Lonchura striata: one gene and its partners. The protein of the gene in region 3 binds, or shares a complex with, the protein of the main gene of each other region. Links are inferred from orthologs where the notes say so. Each region holds a gene or a part of one and is shown on either strand. Other genes may lie near its edges. The genes, in order: SIKE1, STK26, STRN3 and STK24.

What was found.
Region 1: the proteins of STRN3 (region 3) and SIKE1 are in contact, whole or in part, in a crystal structure (PDB 6AKL), measured with the Homo sapiens proteins. The link is inferred for Lonchura striata from reciprocal best matches to the Homo sapiens genes STRN3 and SIKE1. Residues at the interface, in NP_001077362.1 of Homo sapiens: Arg176, Leu179, Tyr182, Leu183, Val186, Tyr188; in NP_079349.2 of Homo sapiens: Glu96, His97, Ala100, Leu103, Ile104, Ser106, Lys107.
Region 2: STRN3 (region 3) and STK26 share a complex: the UniProt entries of both Homo sapiens proteins name them as parts of the core of STRIPAK complex. The link is inferred for Lonchura striata from reciprocal best matches to the Homo sapiens genes STRN3 and STK26.
Region 4: STRN3 (region 3) and STK24 share a complex: the UniProt entries of both Homo sapiens proteins name them as parts of the core of STRIPAK complex. The link is inferred for Lonchura striata from reciprocal best matches to the Homo sapiens genes STRN3 and STK24.

Annotation. Positions count from the first base shown.
Region 1 is NC_134632.1:1,913,436-1,921,223, reverse strand, and holds the start of SIKE1 (suppressor of IKBKE 1), read right to left. Parts: upstream 3,017-7,788; 5' UTR 2,894-3,016; coding exon 2,735-2,893; intron 2,617-2,734; coding exon 2,511-2,616; intron 2,191-2,510; coding exon 2,048-2,190; intron 182-2,047; coding exon 68-181; intron 1-67.
Region 2 is NC_134616.1:7,630,368-7,638,262, reverse strand, and holds the start of STK26 (serine/threonine-protein kinase 26), read left to right. Parts: upstream 1-4,879; 5' UTR 4,880-4,923; intron 4,924-5,028; 5' UTR 5,029-5,108; coding exon 5,109-5,150; intron 5,151-7,895. UniProt on the Homo sapiens protein: Serine/threonine-protein kinase that acts as a mediator of cell growth. Modulates apoptosis. In association with STK24 negatively regulates Golgi reorientation in polarized cell migration upon RHO activation.
Region 3 is NC_134608.1:27,182,272-27,189,843, reverse strand, and holds the start of STRN3 (striatin-3), read right to left. Parts: upstream 3,003-7,572; 5' UTR 2,959-3,002; coding exon 2,647-2,958; intron 1-2,646. UniProt on the Homo sapiens protein: Calmodulin-binding scaffolding protein which is the center of the striatin-interacting phosphatase and kinase (STRIPAK) complexes.
Region 4 is NC_134604.1:77,898,996-77,905,887, forward strand, and holds the start of STK24 (serine/threonine-protein kinase 24), read right to left. Parts: upstream 3,012-6,892; 5' UTR 2,683-3,011; coding exon 2,641-2,682; intron 2,388-2,640; exon of another isoform or gene 2,202-2,387; coding exon of another isoform or gene 2,166-2,201; intron 1-2,165. UniProt on the Homo sapiens protein: Serine/threonine-protein kinase that acts on both serine and threonine residues and promotes apoptosis in response to stress stimuli and caspase activation.

The DNA of each region.
Region 1 (7,788 bases), on a different chromosome or scaffold from region 3:
AATTTTTTTTAAGTCCTTGACAGGAACATAGAAAACACAGAGAAAGTCTGGAGACCTCTGTTCTTACCTCCAACTGAGCCAGTTTCTCCTGAACTTTAAAGAACTGCTCATCATCCACTTGAACAGCTTTTCTCATCACCTTTCCCATCTCACATATTCTGTCTATTTGACTTTCAATTTCCTAAAAGACATAAAATTAATACATTCAGTAAGTTGAGGCAAAAGCAACAGTCATAATTTATCCCTTATAAATCACTTACTTCCATCTTCCTGATTTTGGATTTTCTTTCTGTTTTGAATTTTAATAATTTCCTCCCAAGGACTTGAAAGCCTTTCTGTCTTGTATACTCAAGAATAAGAACTTGTACCTTATTGTCCTCTATCAGCAGTCCTTTATCAGTGAAAACAGTGCAGAGAGACACAGCAGGCATCAAGATAAGGCACCCTGACTTAAAAGGAAATAATTTCAAGTGTGCCAAGGTCTGAGACAGCATTCAGGTTCATGATTAGTAGGCAGCAAATTTTATTTAGCTTTATTAGAAAAGCCTGACTGAATTTATTAAGACACCAAAAATAAATGCAAAGATGATTTCAAGTGTGGAGTAAACAACTTTACCTCAGAAAAACATCATGCAACAAAAGTAGAGCAAGTAAGATCAGAGCCTCCTGAGGCAGATTTTACAGAATTTGTCTAGATACAGCAATAATCCTCTGGAAAATGCATTTTGCTGAAGGTCAGAAATGCACATGGAACAAACACTGACAAATTCCAGTATGAAGCAACAGTTCCTGCTTGAAGAGCAATACATCACATAATGTGACAGGTGACAGGGTGGAGTTTCTTTAAGTGCCCATAGTTTTTCTACTACCTCTGAAAGATAAATTTATCACAGAGCAGAGAATTGATTTTGAAGTCCATTATTCAGAAAGAATGTAAACAAATTAGAGCATTCAGAAGACAGCTGGAGAACACGAGAGACTTCTGGGAAGAAAGATTATGATTTTTTCTAAACAGGAAGATGGTTATACTGAGAACATAGTTCTTTTAAAGAAATAAGCAGTTTGTTAATGTTCTCCAAATGGTGGGGAGGAAAAAAACTCATGGACTTCACCTGAAGTACAGAAGACTTTGTCTAGACATTGAGACAATCAAGGGATATCCCTTCAAGGATTCCTTCAGAGCCCTTTCAGCTTTGCATTGTCAAGTTTTGTTCAAATGTAAAACCTTGATAAACAGCAATTCGTGCACTCAGGGTGGCACTGGAAAACAAACCCAGCTACACCTTCACATGAGTTAAGCAACTTAGAAAAGAGAAGTGAATTGCCACATATCAGTGCACAGAAAGACATGAGAGGAGTTAGGCTGGCTCCAGTTCCAATTAAAAAACTACAAGATATGAGATGTCACTGGGTTGAACCAACCTGCTGTTCTCTAAGCAGATAAAATGCATTTTAAAAAATGCCTAACACAATTCCTAAGTCTTAAATGGAAATGTAACATTATTCTATTGTTAATAGATACCTAATAGGAAACAGGCAGCAGTTATCAGCAGCCACATCTCAGAGTACTGAAGTCACTGAGCCCAATGTACAAAAAAGGACACTTTAGACTACTACACAGAGTATCTGGATTTAAAAACACTAGGGAGTAAAATCGCTTAAGAACTAAACATATACAGTTCACAGAGTTTAGGAGTTTTCCCCTTTGTTACAGCTACTGAATAGGAATTATAACAACTTGTACATCTTTGATTTTACTACAGAGGATCAGGCACATTAAGCTTAAGCCAGGGAATTCACCACCCAGTTAAAAGTAAAAGCCTCCACCTGGGCTGTGAAGGGGCTGTGCCTCTCAGTGTCCTCTGGGACAGCTATTACTGGTTGTGTGCTCTGAAAGGAGCAGAGGGTAAAATACCAGCAAAGAGAGTCAAGATTTGGAGAAAATGTATTTTGGGGCACAGACACTCCAGGAATGGAAACAAAGATTGCATGACAGCAAGCAGGGGACAAGGGTCTTGAGCACTCTCCTGTCCCCATCCCACCTTACCCCAGAATTAGCCTGATGGACTTTCAAGACTGGCTCTGCCTCTTCACGTTTTCTCCCTTCCAGCAGCTGCAACATCTGCTTCCTGTACTTGCTCATGATGAGTTCCAGCGCGTCCTGGTGCTCCTCCAGTGAGACCCACAGCTCTGCAGAACACAGCACGTCAGGGCCACGACCGGCAGCCACAGGAGCCCCGAGGCGCTCGCTGGGTACCAGCTGCGGGACCGGCGCTGCCCCACCGCTCCCCGCCCCGGCCACTGCGGTGGGGCTGCGCGGACCCCCTCGGCCGAGGAGACTCCCTGACCCGCGACCCACCGGGGCATCAGCGCCGCTGCTCTCCTCGACAAGCCCCTCTGGCCGGGACCAGCGGCCGCGCATCCCACCGGGACAGCCCCGCACACCGCTCAGCATCCCCCGCGGCCCCGCAGCACATCGCCCGCCAGGACCCGCCCCCGGCCCCGCTCACCCCGGTTCTCCTGCTGCAGGTCGCGGATCTGCGTGTTCTCCTGCGCCAGCACCACGTGCGGCCGCAGCCGGGACGGGTCGGGTCGCTCCGCCGCGGGGCCCGGGCCCTGCCGACGAGACGCGGGGGTCGGTCCGGCCGCCTCGGGCCTACCGAGACGCGGGGGCCGGTGCGGCCGCCCCGCCCGGGCCCCGCCGAGGCGCGGGGGCCGCCCCGCCCGCGCTCACCTGCTCGGCGCAGCCCGCGCCCGCCTCCCGCATGGCGGCCACGCGCCGGTGCAGCACGGCCGACTGGTCGATGAGCGACTCGGCCGCCGTGTCGTGCTCCTTCAGCCGCTCCAGCAGCGTCCGCGCGTCCGTCAGGATCTTATCGATGGTGCAGCTCATGGCGGGCGGCGCTGCTCACCCCCGCGGCGGGCCCATGTCCCGCGCGGCCCCGCCGCCGCTCTCCCCCCTCAGCCGCTCTCGGCGCCTCTCCGGCCCCGCCGCCGGGCGCGGGCGGACGCGAACCCGCGGGGCCGGGACGCCGCTTCCGCCCGCGGCCACGGCGCCGCCAGTGCGCAGGCGCGGCCCGGCGCGAGCCCGCCATCCGCCAGCGGCTCGCCTGGCGGCGCCAGAGCGCCACGGCCGGCCCGGGGGGCGGGGCCAGAGCGGGGGCGGGGCCAGAGCGGGGGCGGGGCCCGGGCTGCCCCCGCCGCTCCCGGGGGATGCTCGGAGCTCTGCAGCTTTGGCTGGTTTTGGGGTGGTTTGGGGGCGTTTCGGGGCGCCCCAAAGCCGGTCTCCCCCGGCACACGGCGCCCCAAAGCCGCCTGCCCCAGGTGGATGTGCCCCCGTCCCACGAGCTGCCCACGCCGCGGTCCCGCGTGTCCGAGCCCCCCGTGCCCCGAGAGCCCCGGGCCCCGGCCCCAGCGCGGTGGGGGGAGCCCGGGACAAGGCCGGCTCCGAGAGGCCGCCGATCGACACAGGCTGTTTGCGGAGGGCCGGCGGCCCTGACCCCGGGTCCCGCTTATCTCTGCGGCTGCTCCCTCCCAGCGCGATCAATCCCGGCTGGGATCTGCGGGGCTCCCATCTTATCTGATCCTGCTGTTTGTCTCTTCCAACAGTAAACATCCGCCACTCAAAATAACAAGCTGTGCAATGCTGACTCGCTGCTTTGATTCTTATTTGCTAACTGAAGCTACTGTTGGTGATCTGGGGTGTCCTTGAGGCTTTGTACCACAAAGTTTTGTTCAATAGCACCAGCTTCATTAACAATGTTTTTCAACAATAATATTTCAGCAGGACTGCCTTTGATTTGAATAATATTCCTAATTTAAATCCCTATTTACACAGACACATGAGAAAACTCCAGGATGCTCTATCAGATGAAGGTTCTTTATGATCCCAGAGATAATCAAGGCTGGTGCAGAAGTGCTGAACGAGATAATTTTATAAAATCAACAATCTCAAAATATGCACACAAAGCAAAAGAGAACAGGGTAAGCAGCTGCAGTTGGAATATTTCATCAGAATCAGATTAATTAGTAAAGTATGAGAACTATTCTGCAAATTTGGGAAATGTAATCCTTCTGCTAGTTTGGAAATAAAAGCCCAGACCATGTTATAGCATATAAGGACCTTCTGGTCCTTCCCTATTTTTCATCTTATTAGAGACTACTAGAAAGTTAGGACAGTTTATTGGAATTCCTTTTTCCTAATAGGCAAGTCACGAACACTTGGAAAACTGACAAATATTGCTTTGTGGACCATCCTGGGTATGGAACAAGTTGGGTAAAATCGTCCTGTCCCAAAATGGACACATCGTCCCTAAGCCCTAGCCAGCGCTGGTTTTCCTGTCCCACTCTCACATCCTCACATGACCCCTCGTGTGCAGTTCAGCACCTGCTGCTGCCTCCCTCTGCTCCCATTCCCAGCTCTGTGCCTGCCTCCAAAGCCTCTCCCAGAGCTCCCATTTCCACAGAGCCTGGGCAGGCTCACAGAGCAGGCCTGACACAGCTCCATGGAACGAGCTCTGTGTGCCAGAGCCATCTTTTCCTTTTTCACTTTCTCCAACACAGGGATTTCTGTGAAACCAAACTTGCAGTCCCTGAGGTTCCACTTAATTCAGGCACTCAATGAGCCATTGAGAGATGTGGCCCTGGGAATTCCAGTTCATCCCTAGGAAATCAGCCGCAGGAACCCACAGTCTGGGCAGAGTGAAGGATCATTTCATCATTTCATCGCTGCAGGAGCTGCACCAGGATGTATCTGAGCTGCCTGTTCAGCTCTTGTGTTTATAGTTCTGATTTAACACTCACTTCCCCCTGGTGTCAGAGGTGCCATCCTGGCCCTAGGCAAGAGCAGGGGTAGGTGAGGGCAGCACTGCTGTACCAGACTGTCATTTCAGGATCAGTTTATTTCCTCTGTGGCATTCTGGCTTCTAGGAATAAAATTCCACGATGAGAGAGATGAGAATCTATGACACCACTGTCACACTGCCCTGAGCCCGTGCTCCCACTCAGGGCTGGGGCTCAGCCGCTCTCCAGCAGATCTGGACATGGAATCATTTGTCCAGCTCCAAGGGACAGCAGAGTGAGTTCCTGTGGCGCCAGGACACAGAGAGGATCCCAGTAGGACAAAGATCCTTGGTTTAAATGCTGGGAATGCTTGTCACCAAAACTTTGAGTGTGTAGCAACAGAGCTTAAACAAATCAACAGATGAGCATTTCTGAGTAGGGGTGCCTTGTAATTCCTTTGGCTTATCACAGCAATTCTGTGTAAACTAAATAGAATGTATAAATTTGGCCTCTCAAACTTTTTAGTGTTTAACTTCAATTCGATTAAACACTTATGTGTGTGTACAAAGTGAAAAATGGGGTTATGAGAGGTTAATGTTTTAATGCTTTTAATAACTCTTAACCACATGGCTGTATTTTGTCAAACAGAACATGGGGTTGTTGTAGCAGGAGAAGTGAAGGCAGGATAGCAGAGTACTGGGACACTCAGAACAACAATGCTGCTGCAGAGCCCAAACTGCTCCCAGGCCATCTTTGGAAAATCAGAAATAGTATTTCTGTGCTGGGATAAATACATAACAGTTCTGAGTACAGCTGAGAAGGCTCTTGCTAACATTAGGAAAATCACAAAGAAAAGAAATCTAGCTGGACATAAAGTGGACAAAATTGCTCAGGGCACAGGAGCCCCTCCCCTATGGATACAGGCTGAGAGAGCAGAGACTGTTCAGAAGATGAAGTTGTGTGGAGACCCCACAGCCATCTCCAGGGTCTGAAGGGGCTACAGGGAAGCTGGAGAGGGACCCCTCATCAGGGACTGGAGGGACAGGACAAGGAGAAATGGGTCCAGGCTGAAAGAGTGGAAATTCAAGTTATATACATGGAAGAAATTCTTCCCTGTGAGGGTGGCAGGCCCTGGCACTGGGTGCCCAGAGCAGCTGGGGCTGCCCTTGGATCCCTGGAAGAGTCCAAGGGGCCAGGCTGGATGGGGCTTGGAGCAACCTGGGATGGTAGAAGGTTCCTGCCCATGGCAGGGGTGGAACAGGATGGGATTGAAGGTCCCTTCACATCCAAACCATTCTGGAATTCTATGAACAGATCAATATCAAATGGCAATGTCTGTGACAGATGGAGTGACATCTAGATATTGGAATTAGAGAACAGAATAAAGGGCAAATCTTTAGAATACTTCTTGGATTTTCAGTAAAATTATATTAATTGTAAGTGTGGTCAGCACAGGTAAAAACATTGTGGCTAAGTGTCTGAAAGCAAAAGTCTCCCATGGTGATGCAGCTGGGCACAAGCTTTTAAAAATGGAATGTGACAATTCTCATTTCCATTAGAAGCCCTTCCTTCAAAACCCAACTATTTCAGCAGTTACAGCTGTTTAAAAAGCAAACCAGCCCCCTCTCACACCACACACCCCAACACTTTCTGACTGCTTGCTTTTAAAATTAAGTGGTAGTGTTAAGACAAGCTCTCAGCTACTGTCACAATTTCACTGGTTTTGCCTTCAACAAAAGTGTAGCACAGAGACTCACGGGCCAGGAGCCCAAAGGAATCCTCCTCTTGCACTTCCCAGCCCATACTTCAAGGTAGATTAAAGTGGGATAATGCAGAGTTGTCCTGTGACAAGAATTATTACCAAGGAACTCAGTCTTATTGTTCATACTAATTATCTTGCTTTGATAAATCTTGAGGAGTCACCCACTGCACCACAGCACTCACACTTATGAGTCTAATATTCTTTCTACTGTTAAAACAAATGTCCTCAAGATGGAATCCAGGCTGGAAAAAAGGAAAAACATTATCATTGATAAATGGATACATCCAGTTAGTTCAGTCTCAGCAGCAAGACCACTGCTGATAAAATGCTGAGCAAGGCATTCCAGAATAATTATTTTGTAATGCTTAACATAGAGTGTCAAGATCTGCTTTATGGAAATGAGGTCTTGGCTTCCCTTTGCTGTACATATAAAGTACTGCAGTGCCTGTAGTTAGGAGTATTCTCTATGAACTACCAACTCTGGGGATTGTAATCAAACTTAATTGATAGTTTTGCTTTCTTCCACTTTGTGCCTTGCTGGAGTATCTGATTAACAAATCTGGTCTTCCAGCCAAGGGGAAACAGTTTTGGCAGAGGGAACTGAAAGGGGGAGGTGTTAGGATACCCAGGAACTTTGTCAAGGTTGAATGGATGGGTTTATTGTACCTACTCTGCCTTCAGCCACTGCAGATTAAGTTTAAGAGAATAAACAGGAGAAACAGTAACATTTTGTGGGTCCTGAGACTTTCAGGTGAGTTTAAGGCATCTTCAGTTTTCTTGAACTGAAACTTCACATAATGTTTAGTTCTTCAAGGTTGGCCTTACAAACCTGTAAGAAAATTCAAGGTGAAACTATCCAACAACTTCATGATTAAGAAAAAAATGAGTCTTAAAAAGATTTAAATTGTTCTTCCTTTCTGGTCTGCTATTTCATCATTTAATCCCACAAAAGCATTTAAGAATTTAACAAAAAAATGCATCTTCTGAGCTATTTCTCGTCCAGTTTGCTAATGAGTAGTTGTCTGATACATTTGATGCAAAACAAAGAGTATTTCTATTATCTCACACTAAAGAACATCTCTCTGCAGTGCCACATGGGAGCTGTTCACTGTGCAAAGTAACACCATCAGACAAAATCAGTACTCACAAGGCTTTGGGCTGCTTCTCACCCGGGACTGAGAGGTTCATCCACACCCATGAAGAACAATCCCAACAGTGTCAGCATTCCTGAACCTTTGGAAGAT
Region 2 (7,895 bases), on a different chromosome or scaffold from region 3:
CTAATTCCTCAACCAGAGGTGCTAGTTTTATAAACAGTATTTCCCAGTGTTAGAGTTTTTTTTCCTTCCATGAAACTGTCCAGTCACTTTTGGCCTGTAGCAAATAGTTCACCAGCTTAACTATACCCTGTGTGAAGAAGTGCCTTCTTTTGTTTGTTTTGAACTTGGCATCTGCTTGTTTGATTTAATGATCTTTAGTCTTTACATTGAAGGAGATGGTGAACCAGCATCCTTCACCCACCTCTTCCATCCTAGGCATTTAGCTCAGCCTGATTATTTTCCTTAAAAGTACAGGAAGTGTCAATTAAAAAATAGTTCAGACATTTCTAAGAGGAAGATTGCAAGAAGATGTATCATTTTGCCCTGCTAAGAAATATCATTTTGTTCCCTTTGCTTCTGAGGGAGGATGTGGAGCATCATCCTTGTGTCAAGCACGTACCATTGTTTTCTCCTGAAGAAAATGAATGGTTTTACTATATTACATGAAAATCTCAGTTTTTTACACTTAGCTGGCATTGGCAGACTTTGACAGCTGAATTATCTAAATAATCCATTTGTGCTGGAGGATCTCCATGCACCTAGTGTCCTACAGAACAACTGAGCTGCCTCCTCTGGGGGAACCGAGAGCTGCAGAGGCAACAAGGAAGGTGGGATACTGAGAATACTAGAGAGTGAGGAGAGACAAGATGTGTTCTGGGCATGGGAATGAAGGTGGTAAGCAGAAGTGAATGTACAATGGTCTGGGTTCTAGTCCAGCTTCAAGGCTCTGTAATTTTAAATTATTTATTGGATACAGAGATGTCGAAGTTGTAATAAGGGATTGACAAGGACTACGTTTGTCTCCCTTGAGTTAGTGAGTATCAGCAGCTTCTAGTGCTGGAAATTCTGAAGATCCTAAATAAGTTGCCTTGAAGACAAAGTGATTTACCTAATGCCCATGAATCAGAGACTGATTTATGTCAATGGATTGAGAAATTATGTTCTTAAAAAAACATTTTAATTCTTCCTTTGACATCACTGATGTTCTCATTAATAAAATAAATATGTGGCTCTTTTTCCCCCCTAATTCCAGTCAACTTTTAGCTTGCACAACATCTTTGGCAAGGTGTTTCAGACTCAAAAACATGAAAGGCATTTGAAGTTACTGGTTTGGGATGCTGTATGCCACTTCTATAGGAAACCCTTTAGCTGTGCTGTTTCTTTTGAGAGACAGGTGCCAGGCAGGAGAATTGTGGGTGCCTCTAAATGCATTGCATGGGATTGGCACCACAAGCCCAGGTCAGTGCAACACCAGCCAGCTGAACTTTGCAAAGGCACTGAAGGGTTTGCAACACCCATATCCATCCTGATACATAGAAACTGGGCATCATATTTTTAGACAGATGTGTGAGTTTGCATCAGCTCTGCTAGAACCAGATCAGACACCTGTTCCCTCCCTCCCCCCAGTATACCACTGTAAGGAGTCCTTGGAGTTTGTAAAATACAGTATTTTTATGTTTGACACTCTATTTTTGTTTTATTCATTTATGTTTGAAAGTTTAAGAGACATTTCTACCACTTTTTGTGGTAGGTCTAAAGCAACTAACATGGTGCAGGCACTCTCCAAAAGCTGCATGGTTTTGATAGCTCCCTGAAGTCTTCTGATGTAAAAATAATTATATTTTCACACCAGCAAACAAAAATAGTAGTTAAAAAACATGAAACAGTTGAAGGTCTGACTTGGGTCACATTACTACTGTGAGGCCCTGGGAGCTGTCCTAAGTGAATTATAGACACATTTTAAGTCTTGGAAAACAGCAGCACCAAGTATTTAAAGGGCAGGCTGGTAGGGAGAAGGAAAGGTCTTTCATAGAGCAATATCAGCAACTGACCACCTGTCTTTCTTAATGCACAAACTAGAATTTGCTAATTACAGAGGGGAATACAATATTACAGCCCTTTTCTTAGATGTTATGGTGCCAGTCTACCTCACTTCACAGCCTGGCTCAATGATTCAGTCATTGCATGACCAGCTGATTACCTAAGATTCCCTGACAGGTTTTCCTTCCTGGCTCAGCTCACCATGTCATTCCTGGGCTTTCCGACCTGACTTTTCACAGGATGTTTTTCTTTGTGTTTTTGTCACTGCAGTTCCTTAGTCAACCTGCCATGCACAGAAGACAGCTATAGATGTACTTTCTGGGGAGAATACCTTATCACATGATTCACAGTTGTCCTGCAAGACCAGAACTAGAACTCTCTTAAATAAATCTACTACAGTCCCTTTCATGTTATATTAATCTGCATGCAAGTCAGAAATACATAAAAGGCCAAAAGTCACAGTATGTGGCCCCAAAATAGGAAGAATGGATTGGCAATTAGTAGTCTCTGGTACAAAGTAAACAGGGAGAAAATATGTATAGCATCAAGACAAGGCTGAGATAAACAATTAGCAGGAATCTGGAGAGAAAAATCAAGGTAATATATGGATAGAAAGAGAAAAGCAAAGCCTCAGAACCAGAAGAGGAGCAGCAGGTCTGCAATGCAGTAGCAGCATGAAATAAAAATCATCCTATTTCATTTGTCAGGATTTTTTCAGGGCTTATATTCTAAAGATTATTAAAAGCTAGCAGGAGAAGTGATTTAAGTATATTTGAGCAGAATGAATCAGGCCAGGATTCAAAAGTACCATGAGTGAATATTCATTCATTTATTTGCTGAACCACTGTACATAATTAAAGATTTTTGTCAGTAGAAATCCCCATTTCTTTCCAGAAGTTTATTAATGGAAAACATTTTTGAATTTAATTATATGGTATCAACTTTCAGAAAATACTTACCTTAAACATTCCGCACATTAAAATGGACTCCAGGTAGGCTCATAAGTAACTTAGATGTATAACTAAAACACAGAAGCCTTTTTAAGTCATGCTATTTTTTAAAAAGGTGCAGAAGAAAGTAAACACTTTAGTAACAGTAAAGGCTTAACAAACTGGCAAGTTGAAAAAAAAGTATTCCACCACGATCCACAAGCCCGTCTTTGACAAACATTACTGTTTGTTTTTTGGTTCAAACCACAGTGAGTTAAGGATGGAAAGACTGCCTAACTTTGAAATTCTTGTCTTCAGCTTGTTTTCACACAACCTTACCTTAAACAGAGGTGTTTTGTGTTCCTTGCCCAGTGCAACATTCCTCTAAGTCCTAAGAGAGGGAGACTGCCTGCTGTCACATCCTTTCTGAAGGGACCCACCCTCTCAGCAGGATAGCTGTGGTATGGCCAGCAACCCAACACCTCCAGATTACCTTACTTTTTCTTGGCTTTTAGATCTAGAAACCTGTGAATTTGAGGGAAGCCTTCGCATACCCATGAGGATATTTGTGATGGATCCATGATTTCTGTACTCTTGGTCAATGGGCTTCTGGGGAAGACTAGTGCCATAAAAGATGTCAGTTTGAGATTTGCTTTAGTAACCGGCAAAATTTACATGTATAGGAACATGAATCACACACACTAATGTGTGACTCATGCATGAATGGGGAAAAAAGTCACTTCAAAAATACTGTTATTTTCCCCTCTCTAGGCCCTGGTAGAATGTTGGGGCAGCCCAACTCACCAGGAAAGCAGGTGGTGGTGGTGAAGGACACAGGTATGTGTTGGGACAGCCCTGCAGCAGCTGGTGCAGAGTGGGGAGAGCTGCCCAAGGAGGGGGGAACACCCCCAGGGGAGCCAAGAAAGAGCCAACCACCCTGAACTGGGAGCTGAACCTCCAAAGACCAACTGGACCTGCCCTCACCACCTCTGCCACAGCTGGCTGTCAGGAGCACCCCTGAGACAAGAAGACATCACCACTTTTGTCACAAAAGCAAGTAAACCCCATCAAATATTCCCTCAGTTATTTGTACCCGGTTACTACCCTGTGTCTCCGGGGTGCAGGAGCCAGCGGCACAGGGGTGTTGGGGACAGTGGGGCCAAGGAGCAGCGCTGTGACTGTGCAGGAGGGACCCCATGACAGCACCCAAGGGGTCAGCATTGCTGCTGGAGAGGCTGCACCTTAGTGCTGCGTCCAGTTCTGCGTTCAGGAGGGACACTGAGGTGCTGGACTGGGTCCAGAGAAGGGCAGTAGAAATGGGTGAAGCACCTGGAGCACGGGTGTGATGAGAGCTCTCGAGGGAGCTGGGGGTGTTTGGCCTGGAGGAAAGGACGCTCAGGGAGGACCTTGCTGCTCGGTGCAGCTCCTGACAGGAGGCTGGAGCCAGGTGGGGGTCGGGCTCTTCCCCGGGGAACCAGCCACAGGACAAGGGGATGAGATCTTCACTGTGCCAGGGGAGGCCTAGGTTGGACATCAGAAAGAATTTATTCACAGAAAGGGTGATTAGGCTTTGGAACGGGCTGCCCGTGGAGGCGGTGGAGTCACCGTTCCTGGAGGTGTTTAAGCAAAGACTGAGCGTGGCACTCGGTGCCCTTGTCTGGTTGGCAAAGTGGTGTTTGCCATCGGTTGGACTCGATGACCTCAGAAATCTTTTCCAAGCTATACGCTGGTCACTCTGTGACAGCCGGGCGGCCGCGACCCGGGCCGTGCTGAGGCCGAGGGGAGCCGCGGCCCCTCCCTCGGCCGTGCCCCGGCCCCGGCCCCGGCCCGCCCGGGGAGGCGGGCGCCGTGACGCCAGGGCCGTGCGGCGGCTCCGCCCCGCGAGGCCGGAGCCGAGACGGAAGCAGCCGCCGCACAGCAGCCGCCGCCTGCAGCCGGAGCCCGACATGGCGCTCTGAGCCAGCCCCGGCCGCGCCGAGAGCCGCCACCCCGGGGGGCCCCGAGCAGCCGCCCCCGCGCCGGGACCGGGGAGCGGGGCATGGGCAGGGCCGCTGCGGGGAGCCCGGCGGGCAGGGGACAGCGGCGCTAGCGACCCCCGCCCGCCCTTCGCGCAGCGCAGCCCCGCGGCCGCGAGGTGAGGAGCCGGCGGCGGGCGGGGGCCGGCGGGCAGGGCGGGGAGGGAAGGAGGGAGCGCGGCCCGCGCTGAAGCCGCCGCCTCCCCGCCGCTTTGTCCTTCCAGGCCCCGCCGCCGCCGCCCAGGAGAAGGAGGCCGAGATCGGGGAGCAGCGGGCGGCGCCCGCCCGGCCGCCGCAGCCCGCCATGGCCCACTCGCCCGTGGCGGTGCAAGTGCCCGGCATGCAGGTGAGCTCCGCACCGGGCCCAAAATGGAGGCGGCGGGCCCGGCCCGGCTCCGGAAGCGGCGCTTGCGGCCCGCACCGGGCGGAGCCGCCGCCGGGGCGCGGGGGGCCGCGGGTGGGCGAAGCGCCGCGGGGAGGCCGCGTTCGGGCCGGGGCAGGCCGGGCCGCCGCCTCGCCGGGGCAGCGAGCGAGGCAGGGAGGGAAGCAGGGGCTGCTCCGAGGCAACGGGAGGCTTCGGGGGCCGCGTACCTGCACCCCGGCGGAGGAGAAGGGATCCCCCTCCCTCCATGCCTCCCTTTGTTCAGGGGTGGCCGCGCCGCATCCAGGAGCACGTAAGAGCCTCTAAAACTGATTAAAGGCGAAGTGAAGTTAATCGCAGGGTGTGTGGGTGCGCTGTAAATGACATAGCAGGCGCGCTGGCAGGCGGACCTGCAGCAGGACTTCCCCACCATCCTGGCGCTGGGCCTGTAGAGCAGCTTCCCGGAGGACCTTGGGATTCACGGAGAGGTGGTATCCGCCAGGTCTGGTGGGGACAGAGCACCGGCGAACGCAGTCTGTCAGAAACCTGCACCTCTCCTCGCCTGGGAATCAGGCCTGGTGTCACTTTTCTATGTTTGTGTTACCTGCTTAGGAAACAAACAAGTTGGTGTGTTACTGACTTTCATAGGAAAGGTGGAATACCTCTGACTCTTCATTCTTACTCCACTGGACAATCTGATACAAATTTAGCCAGATATCTTTATCAATGTAAAGATTAGCTAATTTCAGTGCTGATTTTTTTTCTTGTCAGGTACTGGCAGCCCAGTCAGTGTTTTTGAGCATTCTCTTAACTTCTAGGATAGTCATACCTGTATAACATCGGAGGTTTTTTTCAGTTCAAATACAGAAACATTTATGATACATTTCTGTGTACGTGAGAGATACAGTAAAGAGTTCAGGAGGCTTCAGAACAGAAATATATCTTTTGGTCAGGTAACTTTATGACTTCTACAAAGTGTAGAATTGATATATAAACAGTATTTACATATTTATAAGTATAAGCCTGTTACAATGCTATGGTTTAGTTTACCTTTCTATTTTCTAATAATTTCTAGGCTTTCTGAAATCTGTTAAATTGTGGTAATTCACTGACTTTCTGTTTCTATAAGAGATCACAAGCCACATCTGCTCAGCCTAGTTGTTCCATTGTGTCAGAATAACTGTTGCATTAGAACATCTTAAAGAAATTTTGTTATAAAAGATTTAAAGGCTTTAGTCTGAGCTTCTTTAATTACAGCCTCTGGGCTTTCTAGTGTGTTTGTATTTGGGAAACTTCTGTTTCAACATTCTAGTTTGTCAATTTCCTATTTTTATATCTGCTTAATGTATTGCTGTTCTATTTTCTGTAACTGCCAACACAAAAGGACCTTGAAATTATTTAAGGTTCTGTTTTTTTCATTGTTACACCAATAAACTTTATCCTAGTAGCATCCTTATCCCCACTAGTATTGTTAGTAGTTTAACTCACAGCCCTTAACATATATGAGTATGTTAAAAACATTTTTTAAACTATTAGATAAATCCAGATGCATAGAATTAAAACACACTTTTTCCCTTGGTGGCCATCTTTTTATGAACGTGATTACACAAGTCCTGAAACCCTCAGAATACAAAAAAATAGAATTTGGTGTGATATTAATCTGCTCATCCTTCTAGAAGAGTCCTAATACAGAGGGTTTTCATTTTTAAAAAACCCTAACCCAAACACAAAAACTTCATGACAGTCTGAGATGGAGGAGTTTCCTTTGGGGTTTTTTAACCTATCTGGACTATTCAGGCAGGATCATCTAAGTAATGGTAAAAGCGTGCCTGCTTCTGCTCAGTGTTAAAGTAGGTGGGTGGTGATTGATTAAAGAAGGAATAAACAGGTTCCTCTGTGATGCAAGATGTAATGGTTATGTTAAAACTACCACTGTGGAATAGTCACAGTGATATTGTCAGAGAATGTCACAAGTTTGAAGTTTTCAGCTTTACTGTCATCTTATGCTTTCCCTTACATTTGATTATACAAAAAAAAAATCAAGAAAAACACAAAAACAAACATGTTATGTAATTTCCATACTCCAAAACCAGACCTTAAGACATTTTATTACCAAAGTATATCAGATGCTTTTTTGACTCTTTTAAGATTTTTCACCTTATGAAGAGTCGGGTCCCCTTTAAAAAAACTCAAACATGGAAAATTACAGAAAATCACAGAGAGTTATTTTGGTGGACTTGCAGTTTGACTTTAGTCCCCTGACAGCAATTGCAGACCCAAAGGTGGTATTATCTGTTGCCCTTATGAGTAGTTACAGAGCCATTTGTTTATGTAGTGGTTGCATTCTGTTTAACCTGTCTTGTGTCCCTAACAAAACCAAATTTTATACCTAACAATTCTTGCTTCTGCAGACAACTTCCTAAACACATTCATTTTCCTTGCTCCTTTGGAAAGGCTCCCCTTGGTGCAATTGTACAGAGTTAACTTAGCCAGCTGCCTAACTTCTAAGCCCATTCAGTAAAATCCAGGTACTCAGTGTATGTATAACATGAGTGGTCTGAAGCTGAACATGATACCACAAATTATGGCATTTTATGCAGAATCCAAGATGAGATGGAAAATGGAAAGGATAATGAGCACAGTTAAGGTGTCCTGGTTACAGGAAGCACAGTTTGCAGTGAGCTTGATTGTCAGGTTTGAGGTTTTATTCAGTAATGTCACAGTAACTTT
Region 3 (7,572 bases):
TACAAGAACCCAGAAAGAATAAACTATTACTGCAGATCCTCTCTCCCATCACTATCGCCCCTCTATGAAAAGAGCACTCCTAGTAGGAGTGCCAATTCCTCCAGTCACTTGAACGACACATGTAAAGAAAGGGGGGGGAGTGGGTGGACAAACCACACAGGAGGCCCAATACTTCATACCACAGATAAGAAAGTATCTTCTTCTTCGTAATAATAAATTTTTCTATTCAGAACACATAAATGAAATCACACATATTGCTAGGTCATTTTCTTTTTCCATGCTTTTTATAAAACATCATTAGCAAAGTTATAAAGAACTTGCAATGGCCAGCACTGAGAAGCACCATTTATAGAGTTTACTGTCATCTTGAAAGAATGAAGAAATAAGAATGAAATTACCTGCATCAGGAGAGTTGCAGCTAAATCATCCAACACCCACTTCCACATAAATTATCTATTGTCATGCTATGGAATTCCTGTCTTGCTTTCAACCCAGGAGGCCTCTATCATCAAAAAGCTCACATTTGACATATGATTAACATTCTCCTTAGCTTCAAGGGACAAAACTGTTGTTTGGGGTCCAAACTATTACAGTTTTACTGGCCACAAAATATGCTATTACTTCACAAATTAAGTTGCAGAATAAACCAAAAATCCCACGGACCTAGCAACATCTATGTCCAAAAAATATTCACAACACACTCCTGTATCAGTCTTCACTATTGCATAGGCTAAGACCTAAAATCCAAGGGTAATCCTCCCGCTCTTCAACCCTGGGCTTCCGAAGTTAAAAAAAAAAATCAACCAAAAACAACCTTGTGCATAGGCACTGTGCAGCAACACTGCTGTCTCAGTCCCATTACATTTGCACATATATGTAAACCCACACATACATCATGGTCAGAACTGCTACCATGCCTCCACAGACATGCAGAAGAATTGTATGGCCATGGACAACAAACAGCAACCACAAACAAAAAGCAGCAGATTTGGCTAAGAGTGCATTAGGGAGTCCAGAGGCAACGTGAGTTCAGGGAAGCACTAAATCGGTCAGACACAACTTTTCAACTCTCCGGAGTACTCTTCATGTTAGGGTACAGCAGTACCTCATTTTAAAGTAACAAGCCCATACCTAAAACAAATATTTCAAGGCAGTTTTGTCTGGTAATGAATAACACTACACAACTTATTTATAAACGTAATAATATATCACTGAGACGCTAGAGAAAACAGGAGAAACGGCCAATTGCTCTCCACTAAAAACACCCACCCATGTTCACCGTGGATTTTAAATTCAGCCATTCCACAAGGTTTAAAATGGTAAGACTTGAAGTTAAGTGATAGAAACAGTAAAGTCTCTTCAATTGTTTCTCTTGGTGGTTTTGGGTCTTAATTATTTCTTAATTACAGTTGTAACTGTAATAGCGCCAAATACATGCTTACTATAGAGCCAAGAAGTTCCTAAAATATTGCCCAGGTTCAGATATACTTCTTGGTCCTGAAATGCAAAAGCAAATGCTTTGCAAACGCCGGCTGCTGTTGCAGTGCAATTTGATGGACCACTACTTCAAGACCATAAACTAATTCACTCAGTACAAAAATCACAAAAAATTTTTTGGAAGCAATGAAGTCTGCTAATACTTTTTTACATTTTTATTATGTACATTTCTGTCCTATAAAAATATAATGGCTCCTGTGTGGATACCTCCCATTCAGTGGATTTTGCAATCTGTTCATAAACTGGTAATAGTCTAGGCATGATTTTTTTTCCTACTTGCAAAAATAATTAGTAAAATTATCCTATTACTAAAAGAAACATTAGGGGAAAGAAATATATGTGGCAACTCCAACATTTGCTGTCTATCCTGAAAAGTTCTTCAGTTTCCGTTCCCGAAACGAAGCCGGTATTTTTCTGTATACTGAAATGACCACACTGCAGACTTATCGATTCCTCGCTCTTCTCCGATATGAAATCTCCAAAGAAGCGAGTCCGAAAGAAAGAGAGATCAGATTCGACCTGTCTCTAATTGCATGCCTGGCTAAGTCTTTTACTTACGATTTACCTGAGCTCCTTTTCCTCGTCCTGCCCTTGCCCGGGAGGCAGGGCCGCCTCCTAACTCCCTCTTTTCCCTCCAAAGCCAGAGCTCGCTGAGCGGCAGGGAGGCGTCAGTCCTCCCTCCCAGGCCCGGAGGCTCCTGCTGTCGGTACCGCACGGGGCCGAGGAGCCCCGGAGTCATTGTGCTGCGGGAGCCGGCCGCAGCTGTCAAGGCGCAGCGCAGCTCGCGCCGCCGGCGGGGCGGAGGTCCCAGCCCAGCGCCGCGCAGGACCCGCCCGCCCTCCCCGGGCCGCGCTCCGGGCCCCGCGCCGCGGCTCCGGGCGAGCGGCCTGCGGGGCCGGGGCCGCTCCGGAGCCGGGCGGGCGCCATGCTACAAACCAAAATGGCTGCCCCGGGGAGGGAGCCCGGCTCGGGCCTCCGCCGGTGCCGCCGCTCTGCCCGCCGGACTCACCCAGGTACCGTCCCCAGCCACGGCGACCGGCTCGGCCCCGCGGGCCCCGCTCGCCCAGGCAGCGCTGCCCCCGCACGCCGCGCGCGGCCCGGCCCCCGGAGCCGCCCGGCCCGGCCCCAGATCGCCCTCGCCCCCCGTACCTGGAGCTCGGCCCGCTCCACCTCCCAGTGCGCCCTCTCCATCTCGAAGCGGGCCCACTCGTGCTGGATGTAGTGCAGGATCCCCGGGATCGTGTAGTGCTGGGGCCGGGACAGCTCGGCGGGGCCCGCCGCCTCCTGGCCGGCCGGGGCCGCGGGGCCCTGGGGCTGTTGCCCTCCTCCGCCAGCTCCGGCCCCCACGCAGCCCCCACCCGACTGCAGGTTCATGTTCCCACCCGCCTGCGGCGGCGGCTGCTGCGGTCTCGGGGCGGCCGCCATCCCACCGCCTCCTCCGGCTCCTGGGTGCTCGTCCATTGTCTGCGGGGAGCCCTCCTCCTCGTCCCGCGGCGGGGGCCAGGAGCAGGGGCCGGGGAGGGGGCGAGCGGCGCTGGCTGGGGCGGGGAGGAGGGGGCGGGCCGGGCGGGGTGGCTGCGCCGAGCGGGTGCGGGTGTCAGCGCAGCGCGGAGCCGCCGCCAGCCGCCATTACAGCCCCGCGGCCCTCCCACCCTCCCACCGGCCGGGCGGGGAGCGAGCGGCGCCTGCCGGGAAACCGCGGCCGACGCGCCTGCGCGGAGGGAGGTGAGCGCCGCGCCCGGGGGAGCGGGACGGGCCCGGGCCGGCGGCGCTGCCCGCGGCGGGGCCGCCTCGCCCCGGCCGGCCGGCCCTGGGTCGGTCGGTGGCGGGGCCCGGCCGGGCGGGCCCCGTCGGCTCCGGGTGACGCTCGGAAGCGGCGGCGAGGCGAGGCGCGCCCCGCCGCTCGGGAGTGCCGAACGCCTGGGAAGAGTCGGCGGGAATGCGGCCAGGCCGGGCCTGCGTCGCAAAGGGACGCGCAGCCAGCGCAGCGCGGGTCCCACACTTCGGCTTTTGAGACTCTGCGCGGTTTAATGGTGCGCTGAGTTTGCCCTACAAGGAGGTGGTTTAGAATAGATGTATTAAATTTACGGTGTGTTTCTGGAAGCTGGCTAGTCTCTGGTCATCTTCATGATACCTCGGTTGTGATGTGTGCAATGTATTCTCCCCTTGAGGAGGAAGAGTGCACCATTTTCGCTGTTCTGAACTCTTCCACGCGAGGACGGTTTTGCAAGAAATTCCTGGTCTGTTTTATCTGGCTCGGTTTTATCAGTGATAGCAATGTGTTTGAGGCTGTAGTTTGAATATGGTGAAATTGCTTCGATTGCAAAATACTGCTCTGAAACATAATACTTAAAAATTACCATCACATCCTATTTCCATAGGTCACCCATTTTAAGTAAGGTAGGTCTTTAGTTTTCCCTCTCTTCAAAATTTTTACATGCTGTACTCATTCACTAGAGGGGTAGTTTCCTAAAAAAGGTCAGTTCTTTACAGACCTGGAATTCTGTTAATTACTGGAAAAAAATACTGTTTGTCTCCGTACTGGTGTTTCCTTTCTTTACCAATCTCTCCTTAGGTATGTATTGATGCTTTAGTTAGTTCATCCAGTTCTTCCTTTCTTCTCCATTAAATCATTTCCTACTAAAATGTCATTGTCCATTCTTCCTGATTCCATACTGATTAGGCAATCTAAATCCAGCTCCTTTCCACCTCAGTTGATTTCTTTTCATTGTCTACTGACAGTTACCTAATCATTATTAAAAACTGAGACTTAGCTCATAATTAGTTTAACCTTTTGTTTAGCTGCAGTTTTTCAGGACATTCCTCATTCCTGACTATACGGGAGTTATTACAGTTTAATTCCGTTACTATATGCAGCCAGCATATTGATAACAGCAAAGGAAAATGTTTTTATTCTTTCCTTCCTCCCTCGACTTCCCTAGATAATTAAGGTTGCTTTTTAAAAAAAATCCCTGTCCTGAAATTGAACACAGTGTTTTATTTTAAAGCCACACAGACATACTTGTTTCATCTTTTTGATGAATTTTTATGGGCACAGTAATAAACAAGACTGCAAAAATTACTTTTACTGGTAATGTTTAAAATAGTATGTGGTTTTATTAAAGCCTTGTCCACTGACAGAACAGAAGTAGGAAGACCAAGGGTTCTGATTATGTGTGTGGTCTTAATTTGCTACATGGTTTTGTGCAATAAATCTATAAGAAGCTCAATAAACAAATATTTTTAAAATACTTGTTCCTTTTGTTACACCTCCTTGTGCTTCATGCCTTTATCATTTAGCCATTTTAAAATTTTCATTAATGTTTTAATTCTAGGGGAAGGCATATGGGGAGTGGCTGAGGTCATTTGATCTGTTCAGCCTGGAAGAGTCTGAGGGGACACCTCATTGCAGTCAACAATTTCCTCGTGAGGGGAAGAGGAGAGGCAAGCACTGATCTCTCATCTCTGGTGCCCAGTGACAGGACCTGAAGGACCTGAGGGAATGGCCTGAAGCTGTGCCAGGGGAGGCTTAGGTGGGATATCAGGAAAAGGTTCTTCACCCAGAGGGTGGTGGTTGGGCACCAGAACAGTCTCTCCAGGGCAGTGGTCACAGCACTAAGCTGGGTGAGTGACAGAGTTCAAGAAGCTTTTGGACAATACTCTGGGGCACAGGATGTGACTCAGGATTTTCTGTGCAGGGCCAGGAGCTGGACTCCAATGATCTGTGGCGGTCCCTTCTAAGTCAGATTATTCTGACTTCTGATGATTCTACATTTCATGCACACATAAAGTGCCATTAGATCTCTGCATCCAGAAAATCAACTTGTTTAGAGTTGGACAGGGAAGTACATTATTTACCTACAGAGCAAAATAATTATTTGCCTATAGTTCTATTTAACATTTATTTTTACTTGGTGAAGCAGTTCTGTAAATGTGTAGTCATGCCATTTTTGTGAGATTTTATCTCTTACATTCTAGCTAAGAGCCCTAGAATGTTGCAAACCTTTCTTAGGCTGAAATAACTAAAATACTTCTAAATCTGTAGACATTGACTGGAGTGGTTTTAGTTTGAGAGATGTCTAATTTGAATTGCAGCTGTACTGCAAGTACAATTCAAACTTAGGTTGTGGTTTTGTTTTTTTGGGTTTTTTTTTGTGTCAGATTATGTATAAATATTGGTGAAATCTGTGAAAAACTAAATTCAGTGTTTGTATCTATACCAGAGGAATAATTAAAATTATATTTAAGATATGCTTTATCTTACTGCATGTAGAATCAGCTGGGTTGGCCTCATGGGGAGACTTAAGATCTTTTTATCTGCAGAATTACAGGCTTTGTCTCTCTGTGAGGTCTCAGCTGTTATCTGAAAAGGAGTGTCACTCAAACAGGGACAAGTTACTTTGAGGTGTCTCATGTGGTCATGCAGCTCCAGAACCATGTCAGCCTTGCAGTGTGAGTCACACAGGCCAATCATGATATGAATTTTCTCTCATAGATACTTATCTGCAAGAGATACTTTAATGAGGGTGACATCTAACACACTGTAACAGCTCATATTTAAATCTCAGTAGTAAAACTGTATGTCATCTGCATGCATGCCAAATTATCTTTACAGAAGATGTATTTTGTAAGGGAAGTAGAGTGCTACTTAGTCACTCCAGAAGGTAATTTCTTTTGAAGGAAAGTTTGCAGTTTCCAGACTTGTTACATCTTCCCCAAGCGATACCTTCTGAGGTTTTTGTTTACAGGGAATCTTTATTCAGTGATAGAGTTCCACAGGTGTTTTGTAGATTGGGTATGCAGGACATGCAAGGAAGCTTATACCATAGGCTGTTCTGGACAAAATTTCTAACGCATGGTTGACTGGGATGGAGAGAGTTGGACTTGACAGTCCATCAGGATCTCAATAGTCTCCTCCAATCTTCAGTTCCTAAGCGCATTTGTAATGCAGATAGTTGTCCAGTGACCTGAAATGAGAGAGCCTATTCATTTCTGACAAACAGCCTTCAGATAGTAATGTCTTTTCATTACTAAAATGAGCAAAATAATGGCAGAGATATGAAAGGCTTGCATCTTGTCACCAATTCCCTTGAACCATTTGATTCTGCATGTATAAAAGCATCGTAATCTCTGTGTGTGTGCATGGGTACACGCAGACATGTGCATGAGAATGCTCAGAAAAACATGTAAGAGTTGTACCAGAGGAAAGGTAGCTGGCTTTTAAGTAGAGTACTGATTATTGATCTTAAAAGGTAGCTTCTCAATTATAAACAACTTGAAGAAATGGGGTTTCTTTATGCATCAACATGCACAGATATGCTTTTGTTTGTTTATTATACTTCACAGGCTTCTGTACATCCTATATACGCAAAACTCATTTTAACGTGTTTTCTATATCTGAAAGCCAAGATGAAAAGAGAAGAAATAAATTTTGTTTGTTAGAAACAAAACTCAGTCATTTCCCTTTTCTGCCTAAATTGTGCAAGCAAATGCTTTTACTACTACAAGGGATTTTTTTCAGAATTAGTTCTAAATGAAATAAAGAAACCCTTAAGATTTTTTTAACACTAGCATTATTCTCAAAGTCATCTATGCTTGTTACTTTTTAAGTAAATTTTTACTAAGTTATTATTCAAACTTGTTAATTTATTCCACTTTTTCTGCACAAAACTGTGTGCTTTTGCTGCCATTTATATGAACAAAATTTCTTGAAAGCTATCTTTGGGGCTGGTGGGAAAATACAGAAATGGCTACAGAAAGAGTGGACCTCTTTCCTACAGATTCAAAAGCTGTTGATAATGTTTTCTAATCCTGTGAATAATTGTCTCATAAATTACAGATAACACTTTTGAGTGCTACTATGGTTCTACCTCTGTTACAACCTTATTCGTTTTTTTCTTTTTTTAATCTATTCTGGATAAGACCATTTGTGCAGATTCTAAAAAAAACCATTCTGGTCTTAATATTTTCATCTATAAAACAATCCAGGCCATTCATAAGGATACATGCAGATAAAATAGTCACAATATCAGAAAGGGATTAACCATGTACAAAGATTAGGGTAATAAAGGAATA
Region 4 (6,892 bases), on a different chromosome or scaffold from region 3:
ATTTATAAACAAAGTACTTGATTTAAAATACAGCTTCCTTAAAGAAGCTCCATAAGCTTGCCACAGCCTTGAAATGCAAGCCAGTCTGAAAATCAAGGTCGTATACACTTACTCTGAGCCAGTCTTGCAGGAATCTCACACGTTTACAGGCAAACACACACTCTCCTCAGGCCACTTCATGAGGCATGAAGAAGCAAGACAGCACATCCTCAGTTTAGTCATGATGGATCTTCACCCTGCACACTCAAACTCGTATCTACACAGAGCCCTTAAAACAACAACAACAGAAACTTCAAGTCTGAACTTAAACTGCACAGACAGAAATTTAGGTCAAAACCCAACTCTATTTCAATTCAGGTTACAGCATGCCCATTGTGCAGCAGACAGCAAATCTCAGGTTTTGACAACCTTCCAACACCATCCTACATTTCCTCCACAGTTTCTCATTCCTTTGGCTCACTTTCTACCCACTCACTTTTTATGCATCACTCTTCAAACATGGATCAGACATCTTGCTTAGGTGGAAATATATTAATCATTCATTCCTCTACTCTACTGACACTACCATGCTCAGGCCAAACAGCGTTAATAAAAGTGATGTCCCTCCAAGTGATTTTTTGGGGTTAAGAAGTTACCCTGCTCACACAAGCACAATGGCTGCTCTCTTGTGTGAGTACAGCAAAGAATGTCAGAGAAAGCTGCATAACTTGTCACTGACACTGCTTCCACCGTTTGTGGCAGAAGCTGGTAGGTGGGGAGGAGGGATCACACTACAGAAAAAGAAGAGATGGTCCCGTGATTTAGGCAATTTAATTATAACCCAGAGAACTAAGCTATATTCCTCTCTTCTACACAACAAAAAAGTCCCAAATCTTTTTCTCATCTAAGCAGCTGTCACACATGGTATGTACTTTACTCTTTGAACATTTATTTGGAAGTGAAATCAAAGAGAATTGTGTACTGAGAACAGACCACTATAAAACTGCTATATATTCTGACAGAATGGAAATGGATACAGACATCTTGAACTGGGCACAGAAAATTAGTGAGCAGCATTCACATTGCTCACAGAATTTATGCCTCTACCTATCGGCAGATCTCTGGTTTGGTGTTCTGGGGGTTTTCTTTAGACTATGAAAGTTTACACTTGAGCAACTCAAACAGTAACAGAATAAAAATCATGAGAAAAAGAACACCATTTTGAATAAAATTATTTGAAGCAAAGTCCCAAATTATGTGGACTAACAAGAACCCTGAAGAGCCACACATTCAGGAGAGCTAACAGTACTACAAACCAAATAATAAACCAAGCCAATAAAAAGCACAAGTCCTCAGATCATGCAGTGGCATACATCATCAGTACATGCATACTGATGGAATAATCTTCGTTCTCTCACTTACAAGCAGCTACAAATCTGATTTTTAAATGCTAAAGTGTTATAGGTTCTGTCTCAAAGCAGGCAGTTGTTTTAGTCTAATATGTCTCAAGGGAATTTTTAAAAAGCCCAAACAATATCCATAGTCAATCAAGAAACCATTTCTTTGTCTCTGGCAATCGGCAAACTGCTCATATTTGAAAGGTGAACTGGAACTCTCAACAGCAGGACCTACACAGCAATAGATTACTTAGCTCAGAGGGTGGGCCTACGTAGGCTACAGGGCATCCACTACTATGTATGAGCACATAATTCATGCTATGCCTAAGCATGTAATATTTTCAATTCAAATCTTCAGATTTTGGAAAGAAAAGAAATTAATGACTTAGAATCCTGACTCACAATAAAACAAACTATGGTAAATCCATATTTAACCAAGTGATGCACAAACACTTTTAATCCAGGAGACAAATTTAAGAGAAACTCTTACATGTCATTCATAAGTTGTCCCTTTGAAGATAAGGGCAAGAAAGTTTCTAATCGGATGTGGGGAATATTAGTATAGCAACACACAGATACCACTGACCTTAATGTTTTCCTGGCAGCAGTTGCCATTTAAATCAAGAAAATCGAGCTCAGACTAAGCCAGCTCAGTCAGCACAAAACCACACTAGTTATTTCAAATACATAGTTAAGACACAGAACGAGCAAATTCCACCGTGTAACAACAGCAGCTGACGAACTCTCGGAATCAAACACAGGAGCCAAACCCGATCCCCGAGCACCCACCTCAGAGCAGCACCACAGACACGGGCACTGCAGCATGCGCTGAAGGTCAACATTGCCAGGCCCTGCTTGTACCGACTGGCTTATGCATGCTTCCCCCACGCACCCCAAACTAACGGGGCCGAAAATCGCCCACTGAGCCGTGGCTGGCTTCAGGGATTAAAACACGGAGAACTGCCGGCCGGGGAGGGGGCCACACGGCACGCCGCGCTCCGCCCGCTGCGGGGACAGAGCGGCTGCCGAGGGCGGATGGAGGGAGAGAGGCAGGCAGGGATCCACCGGGCGGAGGGACCTCGCTGGGCGCCACGCCAAGCGCTGACAGCACGGTTCGTCTCCATCCCGCTCGTCCGCCCCCAGCCCGGCCGGGCCAGGGTCAAGAGCCGCTTTCTCCTGTCCCCCCAGCGCCGGGAATGCCCCTCTTTGCACCCAGCCCGGCCCGAGGTGCGCGTCCGTGCCCGCCCTTGGGGCAGCTGCTCACCTGCATCCCCGGCAGCCCCGCCTGCACGGGGGAGTGAGCCATGGCGGCGGCGAGGGAGGCCGGGAGGCAGCCGAGTCTCCTCAGGCGGCTCCAGGGCACAGAGCTGAGCTCATCTCCACGCTCCCTCTCACACAGCACCGCCGCCCTCCTCCTCCTCCTCCTGGCCCTTCCCCCGGGCGAGCAGCGCCTGTGCGCCGGCGGTGGGAAAGGGGCCGTCCCAAGCCCGGGCTCTCCAGGCCCCGTCACGGATGCAAAGGCGGCAGCGGCTTCCTCATCCCTCCTCCTCTTCTTCCTCCTCCTCCTCCGGGCCGTGCCGGCGACACGATGACAAACCTGAGGCGGGAGGAGGAGGCGAAGGAGGAGGAGGGGGCGGAGCGGCAGCGGCGGCCCCGCCTGCCGTGCGCGGTACCTGCCCGCGGGCCGCCATGGGCGCGGCCGGGGCCCCGCGGCCGGGGCCGGGCTCGGTCGCGGTCCCGGTCCCGGTGCCGGTGCCGGTGCCACGGCCGGGGAACGCACCGCAACCCCGGTGCTCCGCAGAAGGAAGCGCTTGGCTTCCTGTCAGAAGCCGCAACCCAAAATGCCAGTCGTGCTTCTCCTGTAGTTCCCAAGCGGGAGCACAGTGGGTCAGCACTGAGGTCTCTCCCACACAGGAGTTCTGCGTACATGCAAATCCCTCGAGAACTCGACAATGTTCTATTCTTTGTTACAACTGGAATTTAACAGCGCAGTCGCACAGCTTCCCGTGTGCCATGGAATGTCCTAAAATTCTCTCATTTTTCCGCCCCGGCAAAAAAACGTAGGGAGCTTCATGAGTGTTAAAAGTTTTTGAAACCTGTCAGCCGGTAGGTCTGGCATCCATGGGATAACGAGGCTCGCTGTCTTTCCAAGTGATTTTGTTAAATGATGTCAGCATCCACTGCAGCATAAGTTGCTTTTCACTTGATAATTCACTAGAGTCTGTACAAATCTCTTAACTGCAGGAAACATTTGAAAATAGAAAATGGTCTTATTGAAAATTTGGTTGGAACTTCCACTCAAGTTTTTCCTATAGTTTGGATAATCTTTGTTTTCTTATGTGGCTGAGTTAATGCCCAATCTGGTTTTCCTAAAACTTGGAGATACATAAATATTCCTAAGATGTCTATGTCAAAGTATTATTCAAATAAAATTAGCCAACAGCCTTATGCAGGTAGATAAGTGTACCCACACACAAGCACATTGGTGTTTTACCTGAGAAAATAAACTAAGTAAACTGGTAAACTAAATATATCAGCCCTTGAGTACAGTGAAACAAAAAGGGATGATGGCTAGAAACTGAAAATTGAAATATTGAAATTATTTTTTCAGTTGTTCATGAAGGAGTTGAAATTTTCTTTAATGCTGGGATAGAATGGAGATTCTGTGGGGTTTGGCTTGGTATGTAATTTTCAAAGAAATGTAAAGTGTTTTCATTTGTGTTCTATTTCAATCAAAAATCAAATAACAGTTATGAGAATCAGTATCAAAACTCTCTATTTTGATTGTTTTCTAAAGCATTTTTGCAATGTTCTTAAAAAAAAAAAAATGTTTAATTGCTCCACTGTTTGCAGTAAGTTTTTCTAACTTGCTAGGGAAAAAGTCAGTAGGCTACAAGTGAACCTTTTCCTTTGTCTCATGAATATCATTGAAATTCTGCTACATCACGTAATATTAAAAATCCTAATTGAGAAAATGTCAGTTTTACTATTGTTTATGCAGTTTTATTTTGTTGGGTTTTTTTCCTATATGGCCATTATGGATTTTATTAGTTGCTTTACTTTTTCTGCAGTTGCACATTCAGTGTGGAATCAAAATAAAAATTTCTCTTTTGTATTATGAAAGGTATACAACTGTTATTTTCTGTCCATGAGTATATTCTTTGGGACATAATTAATTTTCCCAAGGAAAATACTTGACTTGGTAGATTCTCTAGCTCAAGGCGCATAAGGACCGAAAATTTCCCACGCTGCTCTGAAGTGACTTCCACCGTGTAAGCTCCTGGCCTGGGGCCACTGTGAGGTCTTCCTGTTGTTTGTGTACCATCGTGGATTTATTTAATCTCAAGGTTTTGAAGTTATGCATGATATGTTCAACAAGATTCTGTGCCTGAAAAAAATATTGTTTGGGCTTTGGAATAAACTCTGTGGGCAGATTTACTTGCCAAATGCAGGAAAACAAAGGAGCAGATTCAAAACTCTTCAGTCACAAACCAGATACTAGTCCAAGTTCTAATGAAGTCAGAACAATGCATTAGAAGGTCTAATATCTTGTCAGCTTCTAAATTTTATACTGTAACTCATGTTATGATACACTTCCAATTTCTCCCAGAACTTGTAGAAACTTTTAAATAATTGTTTTGAATGTAATTTTAAAATAATGAATGTGTGTGTTTGCTGTTCATTTTGTAAATGCTAGTCTTTCTGTCTAAATTTCAGCTCCATCTCACAGACTTAATAACAGAAGCCTTTCAAATTTTCCTCTTGTTTTCTCAACCTTTTGTGGGTTTTTTAATCTTTTCTGAGAAAAAAAAAAGTGTATTATAGTCCAAAGAAAGGCTAGTCTTGAAGAATTATTTGTTAAATAGAATGATTATATGTTATGCTAGCCAACCATCCCAATACAATGACTGAGACTTCGGAAATAAACACTTCTTATCATTAAGACAGATCTCTGATGTATCTTTTTGAAGCCAGACGTTCCAAGCATTCAAAAATTCAATTTATTTTACATATCAACTTCTCAATAACTGGTTTGCTTTCAATTTAGCATAATACTTTGCATATGCAGAGATTTTCTGCCTTGCTGGTTATGTTTAAGCCATAAATTGTAACATTTCCATCTCTAACAGTAAGATAAGAGTTACAAAAGAAAAATATTACATAATTGTAAAGACTGTGACTGTGAAATTCTGCTTATAAATATGTGTGAAGAAAAAATGTTTTCCTTACTGACAAACACTGAAACTTCTCAAATGAACAATGTAAGGTCATTGGTGTTTTCTAAGATGAAAGGTACACCAGGTACCCAGCTCTTTTTTGATTTATAATAATAAGTGTGACTCTTGCCTGTATCACACAATTCACAGCAGCTTTAACAAGGATCTTCACAAATGGACCTTTAAGAATTTAAGTGTTCTTGGGGCAAGAGGGAAAGTCCTCACATGGGTCTCTAACTGAGGTTGGAGAGGAAAGAAAAAGACAAAAACCTTTCACAGTGGGGGGTGTTACCAGTAGGCTGTCGCAGGACCAAGATGGGACCCATCTTGCTCAGCATATCCATGACTGAGCTAGGAAAGAGACTAAAGAAAATTGACAGTTTCATATTGCCAATCATCATGAGGGGGAAACTAAAACAAAGCCCAATCTCAGAGTGCGTGACTGCTGAGTGACATGCCAGCAGATGGGGGTTCAGCAGAGTAGAAGAATGTCAGAATATGAGTGCTGTAAATATCCTCAATGTCACCCTACAGAAAAGCAGCTTTCTGGGAAAACTTTATAAATATGCAATATCTAAATCAGTGAATTAAACTCCAAAGGTATAAGTAATGTTCATTTCTGCACACTGAGTCATCTTGACTATGGCTTCTCTTTTCAGATCAATACCAAGTCCTTTAAGCTTTCCTTTCTGGGAGATCAAACAGCAACTTTAAGCTTTCCTTTCTGCTCAAACAGCAACTACTCTCCCAGGAAAGAGCCAAGGAACCAGACAAGGGTAGGATGCAATTTTATTTAAAAAATATATATCTTTAGTGATAAAAAGCACATTTTCTATAAATAACAAAAAATATCCCTGTGTTGCCCAGGACTGATATTTTCCCTGCCTTTGGCAGTATATGCACCACAAGATTAGTTTCTAGTGTACTTCCAAACTATGCAGCAATGATACACCTACAAATCATTGGTGTTTTCTCTGTTTCCACCAAAATTTTAAAATTTCAGTTTTCAGTTTCCATGTGAAAGGGTGTCCCTTCTACAAAGTTTGTGATGTAGCCTTTCTTCCTCTCAAGATGCCATGCAGCTGTGTATTTCTTCCAGCAGAGGAAGCTTGTGTAGTTTCAAAAGCACACAGCTTGCCTTCTACAGATAGATTTGGCTGTGCATTTATGTTCTGGTTCAACAAGCCACTTGTCAGAAAAAGGTTTTGTCAATTACAGAAGTAGAGCTGGAAATCCACAATGGCATTCTACTCTAAGTCTTGTGAATGCTGAAGGTGAAAAAATTTGGTTATTAAATTA